Oryzias latipes: one gene and its partner. The protein of the gene in region 2 interacts with the protein of the main gene of each other region in a pairwise test. Links are inferred from orthologs where the notes say so. Each region holds a gene or a part of one and is shown on either strand. Other genes may lie near its edges.

Region 1 (10,775 bases), on a different chromosome or scaffold from region 2:
TTTATTAAAAAAATGGTTTTAAAATTAAATATTGTTTTTCTCATTATTAGTTTTGCTTTTTAAATTGCTGTTGTGATCTGTACATGGTCTTTGCGTTGAGTGATTTGTTAGTGGGATTTGCACTTCAGAGCCACCTTGGATACATTATCAACACACGAAAAGCTGATGTATGGACTTTCTCCACAATGACTGCAAATTTCAACAGCATTGAAACACAGTCAGTAATGTAAAAATAGGGGAAAAGAGAAACAACAAACATCAAAATGAAGTTTGTTTAAGACGTCTTATGTACAACACTTAACAGTCTTCCTGGGAATTCAAAAAGTCTCCTGAAGGGCAATTTTCCAGAGAATCAAGCAAAAGTTGTCCAGTCGCATTGTTGTGTTTTGGTTGGTTTATTCAGAGCTTGGGGAGGCAGCTGAGTCTATATCGTCGTTTTCAAGGTCATTGGGCGAAGTTGACTGTCCTCCCTTCACTCTCTTCCACTTCATCCGTCTGTTCTGAAACCAAACTTTTACCTGCGAAACACAAAAACTGCATCAGACAAAAGACTATGATAAACTTTCAATCCTATTGCATTATGAGGATTTTCAGAGTTCACTTATTTTATCCTGCTGTGCTTATAACTGAAAACAAAATTTTAACTGTAATTTCTTATGAGAAAATATTATTACCTTTTATTTGAAGGTCAAAAAGAGAATAACTGTTCAATGAAAGCCTGTGCTTGCCCCACCAGGGGCACTAGTGCATTACTGACAATTGCTACAACTCCATGAACCCGACAGCAATATTTCTTTCTGGTTTTCAGGGTTTCTTGCAAAATTTACAACATTTTCAGCAAAAAGATTGACAAGTAATCCCCAGAAATCTCCCACAGCAGTACATACAATTTCTTGGTTAGCTCTGGCCTTGGAGGCAGAGACATTTATTTGAAGCAAAGCGATCAGTTCTGGCTCCAGAAGCTCTCCAAATGTGAGGAGAGGGTATCGCATATACACAACAGGTCAGAAAAGTCCACAACCAGGAAGCCAGCAGCCTCCACAGGATGTGCTTTTAGCAGACGTGCACTGTGAATGAAGCTCGTGTGAATCACCACAATCTGGTAAAATGAAAATGAACTCGTATTTTAACTGTCCAGAGAGAAAACCCTGCAAACGCTTGAAACTTTGTCAGGAAGTCACAGGAAACAAGATGAGAGAGCAGTGAAGATTTCAAACACACTTTATAGTCATTAAGTTTTTGAAATAATTGCCAAATGAAAACGGTTTCCTTTTACAAAACTGTAGGAAAAATGTTTTTGGGTTATTTAAGGTTAAATTTGCTCTTACACAATAAAATTGGCCAAAACAAATAAGCATGCTTTTACTTTCTATACCAACACATATCCCCAGAAAGCAGAAAAGATGGAGATTTTTTTTATTATTATGTTTGTGCTGCTTATGTTATCATCTCTTTCCATTTGCTTCTTACTTCTTGCTTGCACTTTTTTCCCATCTTTTCCCTACATTATTATTATTTTTCCTTCCATTTTAGAGAATAAGCTCAAAGGAACCTAGTCATACAATCAGAGGAGGTTTATATAAGCTAACCTCTGATGTGCCCAAGGAAGAGTTTACTTAAAGACCCATGTCAATGAAAATTGTGTTTTGGTGTTTTCAACATGTTTTTGTAGCATTTTTCCCATAATGGAGGAGATTTCTAAAAGAATTTAACATTAAAACTGCATTTCTGAGTATTCCTTTATCAAAATTGTATTGAATTTGGAGCAGACGAAAACAATGTTTAAAAAAAACCTGACTTATGATGCAGCGACTGCCGTGAGCGGGCTAAAGTCTCACTTTTTGCGGTCCAATTCTAAATCATTCATTTTCAGACATATAGATCTATGTACATTTTCATTTCCTCGTCTAAGCTGCCATCTGGCTCTAAACTGTGCGGCTGGATACCTCCGATATTGCTTGCTGTTACTTTTGCCATACTAATGTTAGCTTGGGCATGTCACTAGTGGGAGATAATGTAAACAAAGACATGTTGGGAAATTAGCTAGGCTAACTTTTGTGCCAACAACCCAAAAACGAATTTCTAATGAGCCCCTTCAGGTCTGCAGAAAATATCTCTTAAAAACAGCACAGGCTTTTAAATTATAGCTAAATATTGCATAATCCTAATTAGAAGACCCCAATTTTGTTCTCACATAATGTTTTAGCTGTTTGGCTATATTTTGAAATGTGACTTGTAGGCAGACATAAAAATTTTTATCCTTAAATTTTTTTTGCAACTCTTAGTCTCAATAAAAATGAGATGCTTCTTCATAATCAGTCACTGTGGTGATTTCAGGAATTTTTAGTTGAACTCTCCTCATCCCAGAGTGCCTCATCTTCTAAAAACCTATAAATCTGTTTCCACATGCCCCCTCAAGTGTCCGCCCCCCTTACTGAAATGACAGCTAATCTGCAGACTGTGTCACTAGAAAACGCAGCCGAGGAACAGGAGGAGCGCTGAGTGAGGACGGACTGTCTTTCAGAGGTCTGGAACTTAGATTAGGGAGCAGAAAGCAGTACGTGTGGTCACCGCTGCTTCATTAGGAGGAGCTGCCTTTGAGAGGCAGGCTGGGGTTTCATCCAGCACCACTGACACATGCACGCTCGATTTCACCAAGTCCACAGCTCTTCTCCCCCCGATCATCCCAGCTGCATGTCGTCCTTCTCAACCACAAGTTGCTCCAAGCTCAAAAGTAACGAGGCGCAAAAAATGTCAGTCTGGAGAGAAAATTTGGAATATTTAGCATCTTCTATACGTGGTACCTTGTTGGCAGGATGGCTCAATTTTTTCATGCTCCACAAATATTTAAAACAACATTTTGTTCCTGGAAAAGTAAATTTTTCTATTTATCTCCTTGGAGAAAAAATACATTGTTTTTGTGGCAGCTGATCGATCTTTGTTAAACTTAAAATGCTAGACTGGTGAATTTATGAAGTTTAGTCAAACATCGTCTGACAATGTTTGGTCCATCCCAGCTGGATTTGAATGCTAGAAAGTAGCACACCTGTCTCTCTGTGAGGTCCAAGTTAACGGCGATCTCGTAGCGCCGCAGTCGGGTCAGGTAGTTGTGGTGGGTGAACTCGGCTTCTAGCTCTCTCAGCTGCTCTTTAGTGAACGCTGTGCGCTCTTTCCTTGCTTTGCAGCTGGAATCCACTTTAAATCCAGATTCCTGGATATCTGCAAAAAACAAAACAAAAAAGAAAGGTTTAGTTCACCTGTTTGTACCCTCCAAAAAACTGCATTTTCTTGACACATTTCTTTTTTTGACTTCTTGCATTTACAGCCGACCTGATTAGAAAAAGATCTCAGTGTTTTTCATCTTCCAAGCAGTCCTGAAGGACCTTTCAAACCAACTCTGAAGGCTGTTTAACAGGAGGCCCTTTTATACAGCAAACATTAAAACTTGTGTTTAAAGGAGACCACCGTCACGCACCATTAGGAGTTCTGTTCACCTGTAGTTGCAGCGTTTTTCACCTCAAAGGTTACAGCAAAAGTTCGGCTTGCATTTATGCATGTTGTGTGTGTAAAAAAAAAATGCTAGAGAAAGCATGGACACCGGGTTGGGGGCCGCCACTCCACACAGAGACCACAGAGGGACCAAGTTAAGGGAGGAATGCAGCGGAACGTCGTAAAGGTCTTGAACAAAAGAACAAAGGTGCGGATGTGTCCAGGGTCTTCTGGGTTTGAGCGTGTGTATTTGTGTGTGTCGCATCGGCATGACCTTATCGCTGTGTGACAGGCTGCACTAAAAAAGAAAAAAATCTCCATGAATGTAGGTGAATGGTGAATTTTCTCATTTCAGATTCAAATGTAAAAGAGATTATTTTAATTTTACTTTTTGTTTAGTTTTCTTCCTAAAACATCAGAAAGTTTTTTTAAAATATTTTTAAACATGTGCAATAGCTGGTTGATTCAAATTTCAACTTTGTGCAGTTTTGTGCAGCAGTAGCGACACCAGCAGCTGATGTAATCTCTACAAAATGGTTCTAATTTGTCAAAGTGAAAAGTTTAGCAGTGAGCCTGCCAGAGCAGTGGGCCAGAATGAAAAAATTGACCGCAACACCTCGTCCAGATGTGTGACTGTGTGTCTGTGCACATGTGTGTTTGTGCACGCCTTGTTTTGTTTTCCAGCAAAATGCTCCTGATGGAGCCCCGGTGTTACTGGGGGTTTGGACCTGGAGTGGTTTCAAACAGGTTTACAGTTAGGCTGAACACCTGGTGGGGCAAGCACAGGCTTTCACTAAACAGGCCCCCAATAAATATCCAGCACAGCGGGAGGCCGTAAACTCTCATGGATGGGCCTTCTGCGCCCAGCGGGGTCCCACAGGAAAATACCATTTGGTGCTTTGTGGGTGGATGGTGCAAAGGCACTTTGTCTCAATGAAGATGCAATTAAAGCTGCTTGCTGTCAGTTGGCGTCTGATTGCTACAACTTTAGCGTTTGTATGCTCGGATTAATTAGCAAGTACATGTAAACACTTACACCCTTTTTTTTTTTAGTATTGATTAGTTCATAAATCAGTTTATTCTGGCAGTTTTGAAAAATCTGATAGAAAAAAAGACGTTAATGTTTCTCTTTTTTGAAAAAACTAAATAAGGATTTATGCTTATTTAATCCAGATACATTAATCATGATTAAAAAAATGATTTATTGGTCTATTAAACAAAAACAAAAAGTATGGATCAATTTTACATATTTATCCCTTGTGCTATCTTAGATGACCCCACCCTTACATTGACGTGTTATCCCTACCATGACAAAGGTGGATAAAGGTGGAAAGATTTCATGTAATCCATGGACACCAGTGAAGATCATAAATCATTGAAGAAAAAAGGTTCAGAGCACTGTCTAGTGGGTCTAGATGACACAACTCCCAATGTTAAAGTGCCTAGGATAGCACAAGGGTTACAACAACTTCGCCCTCTGTGTCAGTTCTTGGACCTATTTATCTTGGATAAAAATTAATATAAGTAGATTTAAACTTCAAATCAGGTTTTTTTTTTCTAGTCAAAATATCTGTTGAATTCAGTTTGCATTACATTAGTCAGGTTTTGGACTAAAGTGCACACTTCAAATCCTATTAGTTTTGGTCACATCTCTCCAGTTTTGGTGCATTGGGGTGTCTGCAGAAACTCCCATCAGCTGTCTGTGTCCGCAGTGCCCTCAGGCCTTTTTCCTTACGCGGTCTCTCCTACCAGCTTGTCAATTTTTAAAAAGGAAATAGCTCTTTTCTGAAGCGGAGAGCTGATGTCGTGGTCAGACATGCTGCATGCACTCAGTGAGAGATTGTGTTACGCTTTAATGACAGGAAAATGTCAATGGATAAGAATGTAAGAAGTGGGCTTGCAGGGAAGTGACTTTAGCAGACGTGGTCTGGCACATTTTCAGGTTAGAGAGTGGAAGTTACAATAAGGTAAGTTGGGGTCTTCCATCGTCTTTTTTGTCATTGTTTAGCAATGTTAATTTCAAAAACAGAATTTTTTATTTGTTTTGAAATTTTTGCCATTTTACAACTATGAATGATGAATAAGCAGAATTAAAAGATCATTTTTATCTGTCAAATTAAAATACTCTAATTATGTGCTTACGCCCTTCTTTTTTTTTAACATTTTTAAAGTGTATTTATTTGGTACATATATGAATAAAATGTTTAATACAATTATCTTGCCCCTGATAGCTTTTTATGGTCTACCAATATTTATTCAACACCCCAAAAAAACATACATATTTCGGAATAAAAACAATATTCTGACAGGCAAACAGCAACTACAAACAAAAGAGAAATACACAGAGTAGCTGCTTTGTTGTGAAATGTTCTGGAAGTTACAGTCTGATTATGAGTTGCTGCTTTAAAGTGCAAAATATTCACTTCTGAATAACAAAGAACAGCATTTTTGTATTTTCTGAAGTCATGAACCTAAGATGGATCTTTGTGGATATGAGGCTGAATGGAACATTTTAGTCTTTTAAAGCTTTTTCATCATAACAGGATGGGCTTCTTTAACAGCACATTTTCACCTTTAAGTCATACTGTTAGTCTGATTTGGTGTGCCAAAAAGTGAATCAGCTACAATAAGGAGCATGGAAAAGTTTTATGAACCCAACACTGTTCTGGTAAATATCATCCCTGAATTATTTGTTTTTAATATTTTTTCTTATTAGAAAAATGTGAAACAACGATTAGTCATGAGATTTTGGCAACTCAAGAAGGTTTGGTTAACTTTTTTCTTTCTCTATATTGATGTTCACCAGAGATCAGCAGAAATAAGTAAAATTTCCAGGAGAAATACTGTTATTCCGAAATTTGAGTTTTGTTTGGTTTTCCTCATGTCGTCTGGATTATTTCCACCTGTCTCACCTGTGATGTCTTTCTTCCTCTTACTCGAGCTCTTCTTGTCGGAATCAGCTGACGCCACGCTCTGCGGTGAGTATTCTCCCTCCAGGCACGTGGAAACCCTTCCTGGCAGCCTGTCGCTCACTCCGTTGTCCAGTTCCTGCCCGCCACTTCCGCCTCCACTAACCACGGCCGGAGCCACAGGTGGGCAGGCCTCGGGCGCTCTCACCCTGGTCTCACAGGGGTTGAACTGCCAGTCGGCTCTCTGATAGCCTCCTGGGCTCTCTTGGTAGAGTCTGTTGTCACGCGGGTAGGCGGCGTGCGGCGCGGCCGGCACCAGGCAGGAGCTGGAGAAGTCCGTGTAAGCCAGAAAGTCAGGCTTCTGGTGAAGGGCGAAAGGGGCCTGCTGGTAAGGTGACTGCAGGTTGGCTCCAGGGACCCCAGAGTGTGGATTCCTCATGCAGCCCCAGATGGGGCTGCCGGGATGGGCGCTCCGCATGCAGCTGCTGGCCGGCTGATCCATGACGATGCAAACCCACTGGACACGCTCTTGAGCAAAGCCTCTGAAAAGAGCCCCTCGATAGGTCTGTGAGAAACGAACACTTCAGCTGACTGATCCCACCTCATGGGCGTCTCATTGCATCTGCCGGTGGAATACTCACGTCTGTCTGATATTGCTGCCTTTTCCACTGCTCAGAATGCGTGAGGATGAACGCCTTCCTATGGCAGCGGGTTTCCACGTCTCAGTGGGAGTGTGCGTGACGTCTGGTCCAGACACACTTTTTTCTGTGTCCTTCTCACACCTCTTTCCCTCAAGGCTCTGACTGGCTGTGGATCAGCGTGAGAGCTTCATCTGCAACTGCATGACCCCCCCTTTTTTGAGGGGGGGGGGGGGGGCTGGCTGTTTTCACAACTCCTCTGAGGCATTCTTGACAAGTGAACCCTCCTCCTTTTTAAACATATAGGTGGGAAAGAGTGGCAAGTTTATGGAGTGAAATCTGAGCCTGCAGGGGAGGAGCCTGCTGGCCACATGTTGGTGGTACCCTCCAAACAACCCTTCCTCATCAACTATTAATCACAGGGGAAATTTTATATGCACATCTAATGAGCTTTCCAGACGTGGGGCTTTTTAAAGGGACATTGTCCCAGAAGTTGAAAAGCAAGCCCCCACCCATGTGGGAACTGGGGGGGCTGACAGATTTCAACTCCTTAGTGCTTTCTGACACCCAATTTAGTTCCTTTTTTGACACCCTTTGGAGGAAAGTTTTCCCTCCGAACCCTGATCTCAGTCTATCCTCTCCATATTAAATCTCCTTTCCTGTTTCTCTTTTTTATGGCATGTGCAAAATAATGCCACCTGGTTGGACTGACCGTTCACACCTTCCGGCAAAACCCCGGATAGCCATATTTCACCACAACCAGCTCATCTCAAAGTCTTCCATTTCTATTTAGAACTCCTTGCTCTTCCTGTAAGGAGCCTCTTTCAGCATCTGTGTGTGACAGTGCTCGCGTGCAGATCCAGACAGGACCTGCCCTTACTCCATTTTCTGATCACTGATTTTTAATTCCTGCATGCTTACCTAAGACACAAGTCACTTCCTCATGAAGTCATGTCTCTAATACCATGAAAAGCTTTTTTGGCTAAACATTGGACTTCAATTCAGCATATCTCCTACCCAATAAACCCACTGAACCACACTGCACTCAAAAACAGGTTTTTTTTCAAGCTTCTTCCATTTTTGAGTTGAGGTTTGCCCTCCCCACGCGTTTCAATTTTACTGTTGACATCCCAGTGAAGGGGGGATGGAATCACACTTTTACTGACAGAAAATAATGAAAAAAAGCTCTGAAGTAGGAGAACACGAAAGCAAAACACTGAAAAAAAAGGGGTTAACCTGTGAGCGAAAAATTATTGTGTTGATTTTGTCTTCTCAAATAAACAAAAAAAAGCCCCCCAAAAAGGGCAAAGCAAGAAAAAAAAGAGATTTTATCAGAAAGCCATAGTGCTGACACAATCTGTGGACAAAATGAAATAAAGAGCCAGAAAGGGGAGTGTTTGAGGTCCCAGGAAAAGCCTTTCCATTTAGCCAGTAGATTGTTGAGCCATGAAGCATCCCTGGTTTTTACCGGCAGGCCTGATGTCACTGCAGGGAACTGGGGTAATGCTGCATTTGTGCTCAGAGTGGGGGCTATCTGTATGTCAGTGGAAATTAAAGGGTGTCTGTGCAATGTGAATGTATGCATCATTTTGTTTGCATGGAGTCCAAAGAAAATTAATGAGAAGTTTGCAGTTGTTACAGAATGTGGAGTAAGGATTAAGATGCTATAAGAAGTAAAACAAAATCCTGACAAACATTTTTCTATTCTTGCATTCTACAGTTAAGACAACGTCACATCTGCCAATAAGGCCAACAGACATACTTCACTGTTTAGCAGCTTTTCTGTACTGGCGCCAGTTTGTGTTCTTAGTTTTATGGGGATTTATTTTTTAGGCAGGTGTGAAACTCTGTCAAGGACCAAACACGGACCCTTGTGAGACAAGGTCACCATCGAAAGGCTTGACTATGAGAACTTGACCAAATGAGTGTAATGTCACTGGCGGCACTCATATCATATCATATCATATCAGTTCCGACCAAATCAAGTCAATTCTGCCAACACATTTTCGTGATATGAGTGCCGCCATGTTGGAGCCAGTAAGCAGTGATTGGTCCGAGATGGTCTGAGTCATCATTTCTATGGCAACCACTCTCATTATGCAGGAGTGAGCTTGTTTGTGTTTGAGTTTGCACATGCAGTTTTAGAACAAACGTTCTGCCAGAAGATATCCATAAAGTATGTAAAAAATCTGACCAAAGATCTTGACTGACAAAACTGTGATGGATGCACATCAAACTTAAAGACAAAGCCACAGTGATCAATGTGGTAGCTCTGGTATGAAGAATTATAAGAGGCCTAGAAAACAGCTTTAAGACAAGGCAGAAAGAAACTAAAAGTAAAGCCATCAGGGTGAACAATGACGACAGTTCTAACTCCCTTAGTGAAAATGCAGAATATCCCAATAAATTCTAAAACTGTAGCAGAGTTAATATATCACAATTTATTTGAAGAGTATGACTTTGAAAATACTTTGTCTGAATTGCTGACGTCGCAACCTTGTTGGGACACGGTGGCCATCCAACCGCCCACTATTCCACCCATCTGGACCACACAGGGTTGCATGGCACTCATCAGTGAACAATGCTGTTTGAAAATGAGTGTTCATGTATGTCTAGGCCCACTGCGGCCATTTCTGTTTTTGAGTGTTGTTTAGGGGTGGCCGAAAACAAGGTTTCCTTATAACTGCAAGCCTCTGGAGGATCCTACACCTTAATGTTTGTGGGTCTCCAGAGAGACCAGCAGCTGCTATTCCGACATCCTGCAAAAAAAATTACACAAAAAGCAGAAACTCTCCAAAAACTCAAAAGTTCAATGAGTGCAAGAATTGTGAAGCTGTTGCAAAATATGGAGTCCTATGTTCAAATGTAGCTTAACTGATTAAGATGTTATTGATTGGAATAGCTTTAGATTTCAGTAAATATGACCTCCTAAAATTCAACAAATTACCATTTTCAGTTATCAAGAATTTATTAAAATGTTGATGAACTCTGTTCTGTGTAATTAAGGGGGAACACTGCTTTTTAAGGTTATTATTTTTCGAAGTAAACGGTTATCTTTAGGAGATTGATTTAATAACATTTAGTATATACTCTAATGGTTACTGTAGTTAGTTGAAAATTATGCTGACTTTTATTTGCATTGAGTATTTAGAAAAATAGACTTTGCATAATAATATGGACATTTGTGGCTTGTTGTATCTGGTGTTATGCTGTTAACAAAACTATAGAAGGTTGAAATTGTGAATTTATATTTCTATTTTTTGGACATAGTTTGTTGGATAGTTGTAAGCAAAAATTATAAATTGATATGTTTTAGTCAGGGCAAGATTTAATATTCATACTGTATTTTTCCACCTTAATCGATTATAATAGTTCATAGTTCTAGATTGTATGATGAATACTTTCTCTGTAAATACTATAAGAAAAACTGGACTTTTAAGAAGATTTTTACACTTTTTTGGTTGCCACTAAACAGCTGTAGCTAAGGTTTTGTGAGGTTGTGTTGCATGTGGACTCAGTCATACACACCGATAAATGAGCTGGACATGAGTCACATCACCCCACAACCTGTTACTGTCAGTCCAGCAGCGAGTGCGTGTCAGGATGTGCGCACAGCCAGGGATAGCGAAACAATTCTGCCTCAGAAAAACAACATTCAAATTTGGGTGCATTTTTTGTTGCTGTTCCTTTGCAGTGGTGCCTTAAATGTTGTTTAGTTTATGCATGACCTTGTTTGTGT
Region 2 (10,727 bases):
AACAGATTCAGCAGTTATCTTTGATTAACACTAGAACGTCCGTAGGGCAGCCATTTGGCTTTTCTACCTACAATGTCTAAGGGACAGCCAAGTGGCTGGATTAGTTCAAATTTACATGCCCAAAGAGCAGCCTTCAACATATTTTGCACATGAACAGCACCGCCATTAGGTTGTTCTGCAAAAAGGACAAGCCAAGTGGCTGCGCAAGTTTTCACTATTTCCCCTCACCTCTGTCACTTCTAGTAAGAGGTCACCACAGTTTGGTTTTTCTTTTTTGGCTGAGATTTATCTTTCATTCACAAGAGACACTTCTTTACCGACATAATACTGAAATGCTCAAGCAAAGAAATCATCTGGTCAAAGTCATATCTTCAACCCACTACTTGTCTGCACATACTTGGTACTGCCCCAAAATCTCCTTTCTGCATTTGCCACATGGTATACTTGTAGCAATCAACAAAGCGCACTCTGGCATTATTGTTCTTGTACTGACTATTCACCTGGCATATTGCCCGTTTCCCTTTGCCAGGTATGGGAGCTTGTCACCAAAAACGGTATTCCTTTTTCACCTTCTCAGCCCCCGCATGTACCTGTGCAAGGTTTTTTACTGATTCTGGAAGCTCCCAGTGAATTTTACCTGGTTGAAAGTTTGATGCAGTTGGCAACAACAAACCCACAAACATTGGAGATTGCAGGAAACCTGTCAGTCCCAACTTGTTCCATGCGCGTGCCCTAGACATCAAAGTGTAAATGCCGCATGATATCTTTGAAGTGGTTTCTGACCATAGCTTTTTTAGATCAGTGGATTTCCCATTTTCGCCAACCATCTTGCATCTTGCGTTTTGCATGGATGCAAGTTTTATCCCCCCCTCACAAGGAGGATGGCAATGAAGCCCATTAGTTCAGGGAGGGCCATGAACCAGCTGTCATCTTCTGTCTGACGTTCATGCTGAACAACACAGTCCCGAATAGTCTGAAGCATGTTCAGAGTGAGGAAACAGGAAACTCTGTAAGCGAGTCGACACCGTACTTCTGACCAAAGCAGTTGGCTCTTCCTCAGCAGTGTAACATTCAATTGTGTTGTGATGGAGAGGCCTCCCAACCTTTTCTGAATGCCACATTGTGCCATCTTTTGCCTTTTCTGTTGGCACAGTGTGTCTCCTCTCTGTCGTCCTCTCTTTTCTGATGGCAGTGAAATCTCCTCATCAGTGATCTGATTTCTGAGATCTGAGCAATGAAAACCTTCAGCAATGTAAAGATATATGTTGTTTCGTTTATTTTAAATTTTTTTTTTTTTGTTGAATTCTAGTTAAAATCTACAAATTCCAAAACATGTCAAATAGGCCTCCTTTGCCTCCCCAGTCCAAGAAACATGTGGTTAAATTAAATTACTCTTAATTTCTCCTAGGTGTGTATGTGAGTGTGCCTGGTTATTTATCTATGTGGCCCTGCAATGGACTGGTGACCCATCCAGGGTGTAGCCCTCCCCAGTTGCTTGTGACTACCTGGGATGTGCTCCAGCAGACCCCTGTGATCCTGACCAGGATGAGCAGGCCCAGAAAATAAATGGATAGACAACTGCTAGAATCAGCAAATGAGAACAAGATGTTCATGAAATCTTATCAAAAGAAATATCAGTCTGAGTCCAGCTAAAGGACTATCTCTTCTCCCTCAGAGTCAAATGGGTTGACTTGCTCCAGGATCATTTTCAATGTCTGCTCAGGGTAGTAAAAATAAGGCATCTTGGTTTTTCAGTTGACACACTGGGAGTCAAAGTTTGTCAGAGCTTGGAGGCTCTTTTGAAGCAGAAAAACCTCCCCCACCCTGATCAGAGTAAAGAATGTGGTTAGCTAGGACATGTCTTCATCCAGATGATCAGGTAGTTGGTGCTGCATTTACAAATGAAAGGTGGCTAATTGAAGGCTGTTGAATTAGGCTACGTTCACACTGCAGGCTGAAACGACCCAATTCCGAATTTTTTGCCCCTAAGCGGCCCAATTCCGATTTTTTCATGACAGTCTGAATGACACAGATCCGATCTTTTCAATTGCGACCCAGGCCCCGTGGGTTTGCCATCCTGATTCCGAATTGTAGCCGTTCTTTTCAATTGCGACCGCCGTCTGACCGGCCAGGCGACTTGATTCCGAACCGTACGTCATCGACACGCAACAAACGTCATCATTTTGCGTTGAAGTAGGCGGGAACGAGAACGTAAACATCAACCATGGTGGAGGATGCTGCTGAGAGACCAGTCAGTGGAAGGGAAGGGAGGTCACGGATTGGATTAATATTTGGGGTGATCGCTCTATTCAGGCCAAACTCCAGGGCTCTTATCGCAACTGGGCGGTTTTTGAAAAAATTTCCAGATAAATGGCCGAGCGTGGTGTTGAACCTTTCCCGCGATAACTTTTTTTTCTTTCTCCCCTTTGACTGTGCTCAGAAGCGCGGGGGACGCGAGGCGATCCTCCTCCTCCTCCCTGTTCTGATCCTTAGATTCTCCAGAACGGGTTAATAAAGAGTCCATAGCATTTATTTTGGGGGAAACCTTCTTTTATTACCGTCCTCCGTAACACACAACATGAATGCGCGCCCACACTGCCCCCCCCCCCCCCCCCCTATTCTCTATCGCGGCACGCGCTTGCACACACACACACGCGGGGGCGAGGCCCCAACACATACACATTCCTCTTCCACTACAGTGGGTACAGACGATCCCGACTCCAATGCCTTCTTAAAATGAGAAGATTGTAATTGTGCTGCTCCTTTGTGAAAATAAATGTAATATTACAAAAAGAGCTCCGCTTTTGACAACACTGTTGTTGACATCCATTGTTAACGTTGGCTCCGCAAACAACAAGTGACGTTGTTCACTGTTGAGTATTCTTCTAGCTTCTGCGCATGCGGGTCTCGTTTGGGTCGTGTCACGGTCACACTGGAGATCACAAAAGTTTGGATTTACTTGGAAATGTGAACGGTCTAGCAAACAAATCAGATTTTTTCAAAAAATCCGAATTGAGCATTAAGCCCTGCAGTGTGAATGTAGCCTTAAGGCCCGTTCACACCGGGACGAATTTCGCCGGCAATTTTCGCCGACGTTTAACGCCTCGTGACTAAACAAAGGGCACCAATGAGAGTGTGCACACCGACGCGAAAAAACGCCACGCGCCAAAGCGTCAAAAAAAAAAAACGCCTCGGGTTCGTTTTTTTTTTCGACGCGTCGTGTCGAAATCTATTCGACCAATGAGAATGCCGCTTTTGCACACGTGTCTGGAGCTTCTGAAGTTACAGTAAAACACAACTTGGGGGCGCTCAAACACAAAACTGCCTTGCTGAGCACACATACCAGCGAAGAAGATAGACGCCAAGTAGCGTCTACACTGCTGTGAAGAAATAATGACGGACATTCTTAAATATCCCCGAACCAAGTACCAGTTGGAGCTACTGATGCTTGAAATATTCATGTTTTCTTTGTATGATTCTGACAAGCGCGTAAATACTTGCTCACTTCTTCTGAGTGAAAAGCGACTTTAAGAAGCGTAAAGGTGCGCAGCGCCACCTTGTGTACAGGAGTATTTCTGTTTACATTAAGCGCCATCTAATGTCAGGGAATGAAATTGCATGTTCGCTCGGCTCACCGTCAGCGAAAATCGCCTGGGTGTGAACACAAAAAACGTGGCGAAAAACGCTGGCGAATAACGCCTGGCGAATATTCGTCCCGGTGTGTACGGGCCTTGAGTCATTTCGAGTCACCCAGCCATTTGGCTGTGCTCTGGACGCTGCAGGGGGAGTGAAGAATCCTGGGCGTTCTAGTGTTAAATCGTAACTAAATTCTTCACCTGAACTCAACCCAAAAATATTTTTTCAGTTATAGAAATTATTAAAACATCTTTGTTAAGAAACCACTCAGAAAAACTTGTTGACAGATCATTTGTGTGTTTGTATCTCAGAGTAATGCATGGAAGACGGTCTACCTCTGAATCCACACTTGAAGCATCTCCTGCTTCCGTTTTCCTTTTCTCTTTCTTGTCCTTCTTCTTCTCTTTTTTCTTCTTGGATTTCTTCTCCTTTTTCTTCTTTTTGCTCTTCAAAGATCCATCCTGGTAAATGTTTGAATTTAGTTCTTTAAATGGAACCTCAGTTTGTTTAAAAAATATATTTGAATTGAAATAAATACAATTAGCAGGAAAAGAGTGAAGCTGCCAAAATTCTGCATAAGCAAATTTTGAAGCCACTTCTGCAAACATGAAGATTTACCAGCAAACGTTTAGCTTGAGTACAGGAAAAAAAAAAACAACTACCCAATATGTTGACATAAAAAAACAAATAAGTTTTCATGGTTTAAAAAAGATGAAAACTGGTTTGCTGTGAAGCAGGTGGTTTTAAATTCTAAAATGATAAATAAAACTTTATTTCTCCGACAATGGCAAACTCAAAGCAGCATGTAAGGAAAAAAAGATGAAAATTAGATTAGGTAAATATAAAAATAAGGCATAAATACTTTCTTAAGAAATGTGCCACCATTGGCATGTTTCTTTAACAACCTATAGCTCTAGAAAATGATTAAACATGATTCACGTCCAACTGCAGTCATCTTTTGATCCATTTTCAAAGCATTCCCAGTGGTATTTTAATAATAATTATGCTCTTTTAGGCAAAAATTTATAAAATCTGTGTTGTTTTCTAGGACAGTTTCTGCAGGGTGGCAGGAGTTCATTAGAAATTCACCTCGGAGTTGTGGGTTGGACTGTTGAAGTGCGCTCATTACCCATGAACCCTTTGTTTACACTCCCTCCAGCTAGCTCACAGCCCCTCACAACCCCAATCTAACATTACCGGTGCAACAAAACTGGCGAGCAGTCGTCCAGTTTTAAGACAGATTTCAGCTCAGACTGTCTGCTCCTGATTCACAACAATATGAATACAGAAATACTCAGAAATGCATTTTTAATCTCAATTTTCTTGATATATTTTATTCAACATGAGAAAAATGCAACAAAAACATGTTAAAAACAACATAAATACTATACTCATTGGAGTGGGTCTTTAAATGATGTATTTCTGTCATTGTGCTGCTTATTAAATGTCTTTCTGAAGTGAAACAGATACAACTTACGTCTCCTAACTGCTCCAGTCTCTGGTTGACTTCAGGAAGTATCCAGGTGTCCTCTCCTCTCTGCCTCTTCAGCTCCTTTCTCCTCTCCTCCTTCTCATATTGTTGCTTAGCCTTAAAAAAAATAACATTTATTATAATATCTACAGCATACCAGTATTTGTGGTTTTACAGAAATGTACTCACACATTATGTTAAATTATGCTGAAGTGTCTAGAAATAAATGGTAACACTAAACAAAGATTTGAACAAAATCTAGACTTCACATACTATTTTGGGATTATAAGTATAAATGTGAGCTGGAAAATTGATTACGATTATATATTATATTCAGATTATAAAAACAGCACAGAAAGTAAAGAGATTTGGCTAAATATGTTTTGCTGTATATCGGTTGAAGATAAATGTATAGATTGAGTTTTCCTCAGTTCTGGGCTCCACTCGGTTGTTGTCAGTTTCCTGGCGCTTGCGCAGAACAGATAAGAGTCTACAACACATTTATGTGCATTTAAAGGGAACAGCTGTAAGTGCTGCGTAAATAGCTATGTTCATGTTTGAATACAGCTATTAAGATGTTCTTGTTTTCTATCTGTGGACAGTGAATAACTACAATCTGGACAAAATGTAAACACGAAAAAGACAGGCTGCCGCCGTCTGCTGTGCTATATCGGTCACTGACTTTCACCACTTTCAGTGTTTGTGTCATATTTCCCTGCAAGCGTTCAGGGAGCATGCAGCAATGGTCCAAACAGGAATAATCTGAAAAATGTCCCGACAAGCGCTTGCTTAAAACTTCATCACGACAGCAAACCTTCTCAAAACGTCACATAGTCCCGGTTGACTTGATCGTTGATGGTACCATCCTTAGCATGTCGGTTAGCAGGTCAATCAATGTAAACAAAAACAAACGGCGGCGCGGAAATACTTCACATCTGCGTTCTAAAGAGTCCTAGTTCGTACCTTTTGTATCGCCTCTTGTCGCGCCTGTCGTTTCTTTTCTTTCGCTTCTTCGATGTTGCTGGAACTCTCAAAACTGACTCCGTACGCCGCCATAACTACGTCGTACACGGGTCTAGCCAACTGTCGTAAAACATCGCTGTTTACGACAGTTGTTTTGTGGTTCTTGTAGTTCCATTAACCCTAACCCTTAATGCCTAATTTTCCAAAGAGCTAAATAAGATGATTATGATAAATATAAGGCCCACTATCATTATTTTGTTCTATAGTTTTCAAGCATTACATGTGCAAATTAGCGGCTTCAGTGTCCAATGCAGACCTCTCCCATCATCTGTTGTCACCGTTGTCAGTTCCTGGAGTCCAAACCAAAACGGAGAAGCTGCATTCAGCTTCTATGCTCCACAGATCTTCTGGAACAGACTTCAGGAAAGCCTTAGATCTGCTAAAACACTCAGTTTTTTTAAACCCATGTTAAAGGCCCACCTGTTCTCAACAGCATTTAATTAATTTAACTTCAAAAGTTTACATCAGCACCGTTACTCTAAGCTTATTTTAATTTCCGTTCTTTTTAACTTTCTTTAATTTTTATTTTAATAATCACCCCATTAATATCTCCAGTAAATGTTTCCTTTAATGTTTTATGTAAGGCACTTTGAACTACCTTTGTACATAAAATGTGCGAAACAAACTTGCTTTGAAAAAATAAAGTTTGATTGATTTGCCTTAATGTTGGAAATAAAACAAAAAATCTGTGCTGGCTGCTCTCAATTTAAAGTCCCTGATAATTTCAAAGCACAAACTGAACTTAAAAGGAGACCAAAAATCACTTAGATGTGTTTCTTTTTCATTTATTGAATGATTTTAAATCCAAGTTGAAAACTCCCTTTTTCCCTCTGTCTTTTAGCTCAGTATGAGTTGGTGATTTTATTGATGTTTCTTACTTTTTTATTATGTTGTTTATTTTAGATTGTTGTTTTTTTTTAATCTTTCATTGTTAAGTGTTTTAGTCAGCCTCTGCTGGGTTTTTTTTTAAAGCGCATTATAAATAAACTTGACTTGACTTGAATTTTTAAAGATAAAAGAAAAATAAAATGATTTTTAAAATATGAAATACCAACAAGCAAAAACGAACAAAAGAGTCACAAATATCAAAGCCCTGTAAAAGACAGTTTCTCAAAAATCTACATTTATTAATTTCTCTTAAAATCTCAACAAGAACATCTTTTCATTTTGTCTCACTGTTCTGTTTTTTGTTCTGCCAAGTTTTTATTCGCACAGACATATCTTTCTGCATTCATTCCTTCTGCAACACAACACACCAGTTGCCCTGGTCATGGTAACTGCTCTTCACTTTGACTCCAGACACCTGAGCACACAGATGCTCCAGCTCCCCCTGCTGGAAAACATGGTAATAGCGATGAAAAACTGGAACTGTGCTACTCTCCAGTTTCAAAGCAGAAGCTGAAGCCTGAGGGAATGCTGGACTCAGCTTAGCATCTGCACGCTGGGAGGAGTTTGAGTCCGACCCCAGGCTTGAGTCGGGGCTGGAGCTTAAGTCAGGGTTTTCCTCTAGCTGCGATTTCCCTCCCTTAAGATGCCAGGGAACCAAAAGATCCTGGGAAGTAAAGGCTGTGCGGTTGGTGTGCACACTGAGGCGAGCATCAGGAACTCTACTAACACCTTGCATGTCAGAAGGTTTATGGCTGTTTTCTAAGTGGCAGGAAAGATCAGATACTTTTTCTCCACTGGATTTCTGGCTCTTTTCTGACAGTAAGTTGGTGGAACTGAACTCTCCATGGTCTTCTTTGAAGATTTGCTTGAGGTATTTGGACTTCTGCTTGTTGTATTCTTGTTCAAAAGCCCAAACATAGATAAGTGCCTGACCTCCAGGCTTCAAAAGTCTCACCAGCTCCTTCACTGCTGCCAGTCGGCGCTCCTGGTAAATACAGGAAAAACATTCAAACTCATTATTTCAACAAGACTTTCGATTAAAAAAATCTAAATTTGACAACAAAACAATATAAAAATGGAACTTTGTTGCACATCAAGGCTAGACAAACTTGGAACTTTAACATTTATAGAAATATTCATTAGCTGGACCAACAAACCTCATTGTAATTTAAAAAACTATTAAGCTTTTGTCAAATTTAAATATTTTCCACACTCAATAAAAATGTCATAGCTATATGTAACATAAAATAATAATAACTATAGTTTTATTACCTATTTTGAACCATTTGTTATTATAATGTGAGAAAAATTACTGCTGCATCTCAAAGATGGCGTTTTGTAGTTAATAGAATTTTTTTTTTTTTCCATCTGAGATTTTAGTATTTTTTAAAGCCATTTTCCCACATAACTCATTGTCTGCAGATCTTTGTGGGTCTAACAAAAAAAAGAGGCAATGATTGTCACATGTCAATCATCTTTGTATGAAAATGTGGAGAACATACCGCAGTGGAAAAATGATGAATGACCGCGATGGAAATGCAGGCGTCACACGACGCCGTTCGCAGGGGAACGCTGAGGGCGTCTGACACAAACGCATGATAACCCCTCGCGGCGCAGATCTGAACAAGAGCAGTGCTGCGATCACAACCCACCTGAAGGCAAATAGACACAAGAAAGACAAGCTTCAGCTGAAGACACAACAACTGTAAGAGGAACACACAAGCAGGAAATAAGAACAAAAATGACTTCAAATACCAAAAGAAGGATTTTTTTTAGTTAGTTTAGTTGTCTTAGTTACTTTAAATGATTTTTCTTTCATTACTGGAGTGATACCAATCATTCTGTCCATGTCTGTAAACACAAATGGACCCGAACAAACAATCATGTTTTAAATTGAATCTTATTCTAAACGGCAGCTGAAGACACTGAGGTGCTTTGTAGGAGACAAAAATGGAAAGGATTAAACAGAGAAAAGCAGGGGAGGAGGAAATAGAAAAAAAAAGAGGAATTATCCTCGGAAATTGGTGTGTGACCTGCATAATCACAATGTTCTCAGTGTTGATTTATAACAGCTACGCCTGGAGTCGGCATAAGCTGCTTAAATGCACGTCCCAGATCCCAAATATGAATATCCCCCATGTGCACACGTAAACAGAAAATGAGGAAATTACCATGGAAACCAAGCTAATGAATGCGATGTAATCAAAGCAGGGATCTCCAAAAACCTCTGTGACAGCTGTTGTTGAATGGATGTATTTGTCATTCAGGACAACTACACAACTTTTACAAAATACAACAAAACTGTTCAACTGCATTGTTTCTTCTAAGAAAACCTTTCACCACCTAACTAAAAGTCCCACTCCAATCATCTTTTGATCTTTTGTAAAATCCTTCCCAGTGGTCTATTAATTATGATGGTGCTGTTTTTAGCCCAAAATAAAAAAAACTGTCTTTTTCTAGGCCTAGGGAATCGTTTCTGCAGAGCTGCAGTATTTAATCAAACCCCCTCCAGTGAAAATAGTGTTTTTGGTGTTTTTAACATGTTCTTGTAGCATTTTTCTGATGATGGAGGACAAATATAAAAAAAAAATTAAACTTCAAAATTGCATTTCTGAGTATTTCTTTATTTAAATCATTCTGAATCAGAATCGTAATTGTGAGGTAGAAAATAAGCTGGACGGGTCACAAGTTTCCTACTCCGCTCCATTCTGATGCATCCACTTGTAGACAAGTAGATCCATTAACGTCATCATTTTCCTCGCCTGAGCTGCCCTTTGACACAAAACTGTACGGCTCGATTGCTCCAACAATGCTCGCCTTTTTTCTGCATGGCTCATGTTAGGTTGGCGTTGCGAGGAGCCGTAATCTAGCGGGAGAAAGTGTAAACCAGGCCTTGATGGGATATCAGCGCAAGCTAACAGTCCCACCAACAGCTCAGAGGCGAATTCCTGTTGAACTGCTGCTGTTCTGCAGAAACTATGTCCTACAAAACGACACAGGTATTTTGATTAAAAACATCATGATCATAATTAATAGACCTCTGGTAATGCTTACAAAATAGATCAGAAGATGATCGGAGTGGGGGTTTAGAAATTCACCTGAGTCGGCACAGAGAGAAGACTACAGTTTCCTGTCAGGTGTCTTACACTGAAACTTGAATATGTGCAGGAACGTTCAGTTCATTATGTATGAGCAACATTTTGCCCAGAAGAGGAAGTCAGAGTGCAGAGAAGAAGCACTGTCCTGTTTGCTGCAGCAATGGAGGAGCGTCTGTGAGTGGAGGGAGTGTTATGATGTGGGACACCATCATACTGGAAAATGAGAAGCAGATGAGTAACATTGGCTACGGATGGCTGCATTCCTGCTGCAGCCCAGGCTCCTTTTAAAAAGGATGTGCAGTATCATAAAGGATGGGGTAGTTCTGGACCTCTGTGATCAGCCTCTCGTCGTCTATGGTGTTAAACGACCACTATGATGCTCTATCACACCCTTTGTGGCCCCATGTCAGCGGAAATGACGTAATGCTTACACCACGGTGGAAACAGCGGAAAAAAGGGTTTTATTTTGAAAAATGCGCCGGATGCACTTTCCACTCGCTCGCATGATTTCCGGTTTAGGTTGTTTCATTTGCCTCAACTTTGCAAAAAAATGCTCCAGCTCGCTTGGAGAAGCCGTGGGAGTGCCTCCCGCACTTTTCCAGCTACCTAAA

Evidence for each region. The genes of interacting proteins can lie anywhere in the genome.
Region 1: the proteins of cwf19l2 (region 2) and meox1 interact in binary tests that used the Homo sapiens proteins (3 or more experiments, as listed by UniProt). The two-hybrid records come from large-scale screens. The link is inferred for Oryzias latipes from reciprocal best matches to the Homo sapiens genes CWF19L2 and MEOX1.

What each region holds. Positions count from the first base shown.
Region 1 is NC_019877.2:18,102,692-18,113,466, reverse strand, and holds the start of meox1 (homeobox protein MOX-1), read right to left. Parts: upstream 7,269-10,775; 5' UTR 7,040-7,268; intron 6,964-7,039; 5' UTR 6,901-6,963; coding exon 6,402-6,900; intron 3,220-6,401; coding exon 3,047-3,219; intron 519-3,046; coding exon 396-518; 3' UTR 1-395. UniProt on the Homo sapiens protein: Mesodermal transcription factor that plays a key role in somitogenesis and is specifically required for sclerotome development. Required for maintenance of the sclerotome polarity and formation of the cranio-cervical joints.
Region 2 is NC_019871.2:20,779,411-20,790,137, reverse strand, and holds the start of cwf19l2 (CWF19-like protein 2), read right to left. Parts: upstream 6,203-10,727; 5' UTR 6,164-6,202; coding exon 6,071-6,163; intron 5,225-6,070; coding exon 5,114-5,224; intron 4,098-5,113; coding exon 3,972-4,097; intron 1-3,971. Other genes in the region: alkbh8 (alkylated DNA repair protein alkB homolog 8), read right to left, coding at 7,362-8,003, 8,521-8,670.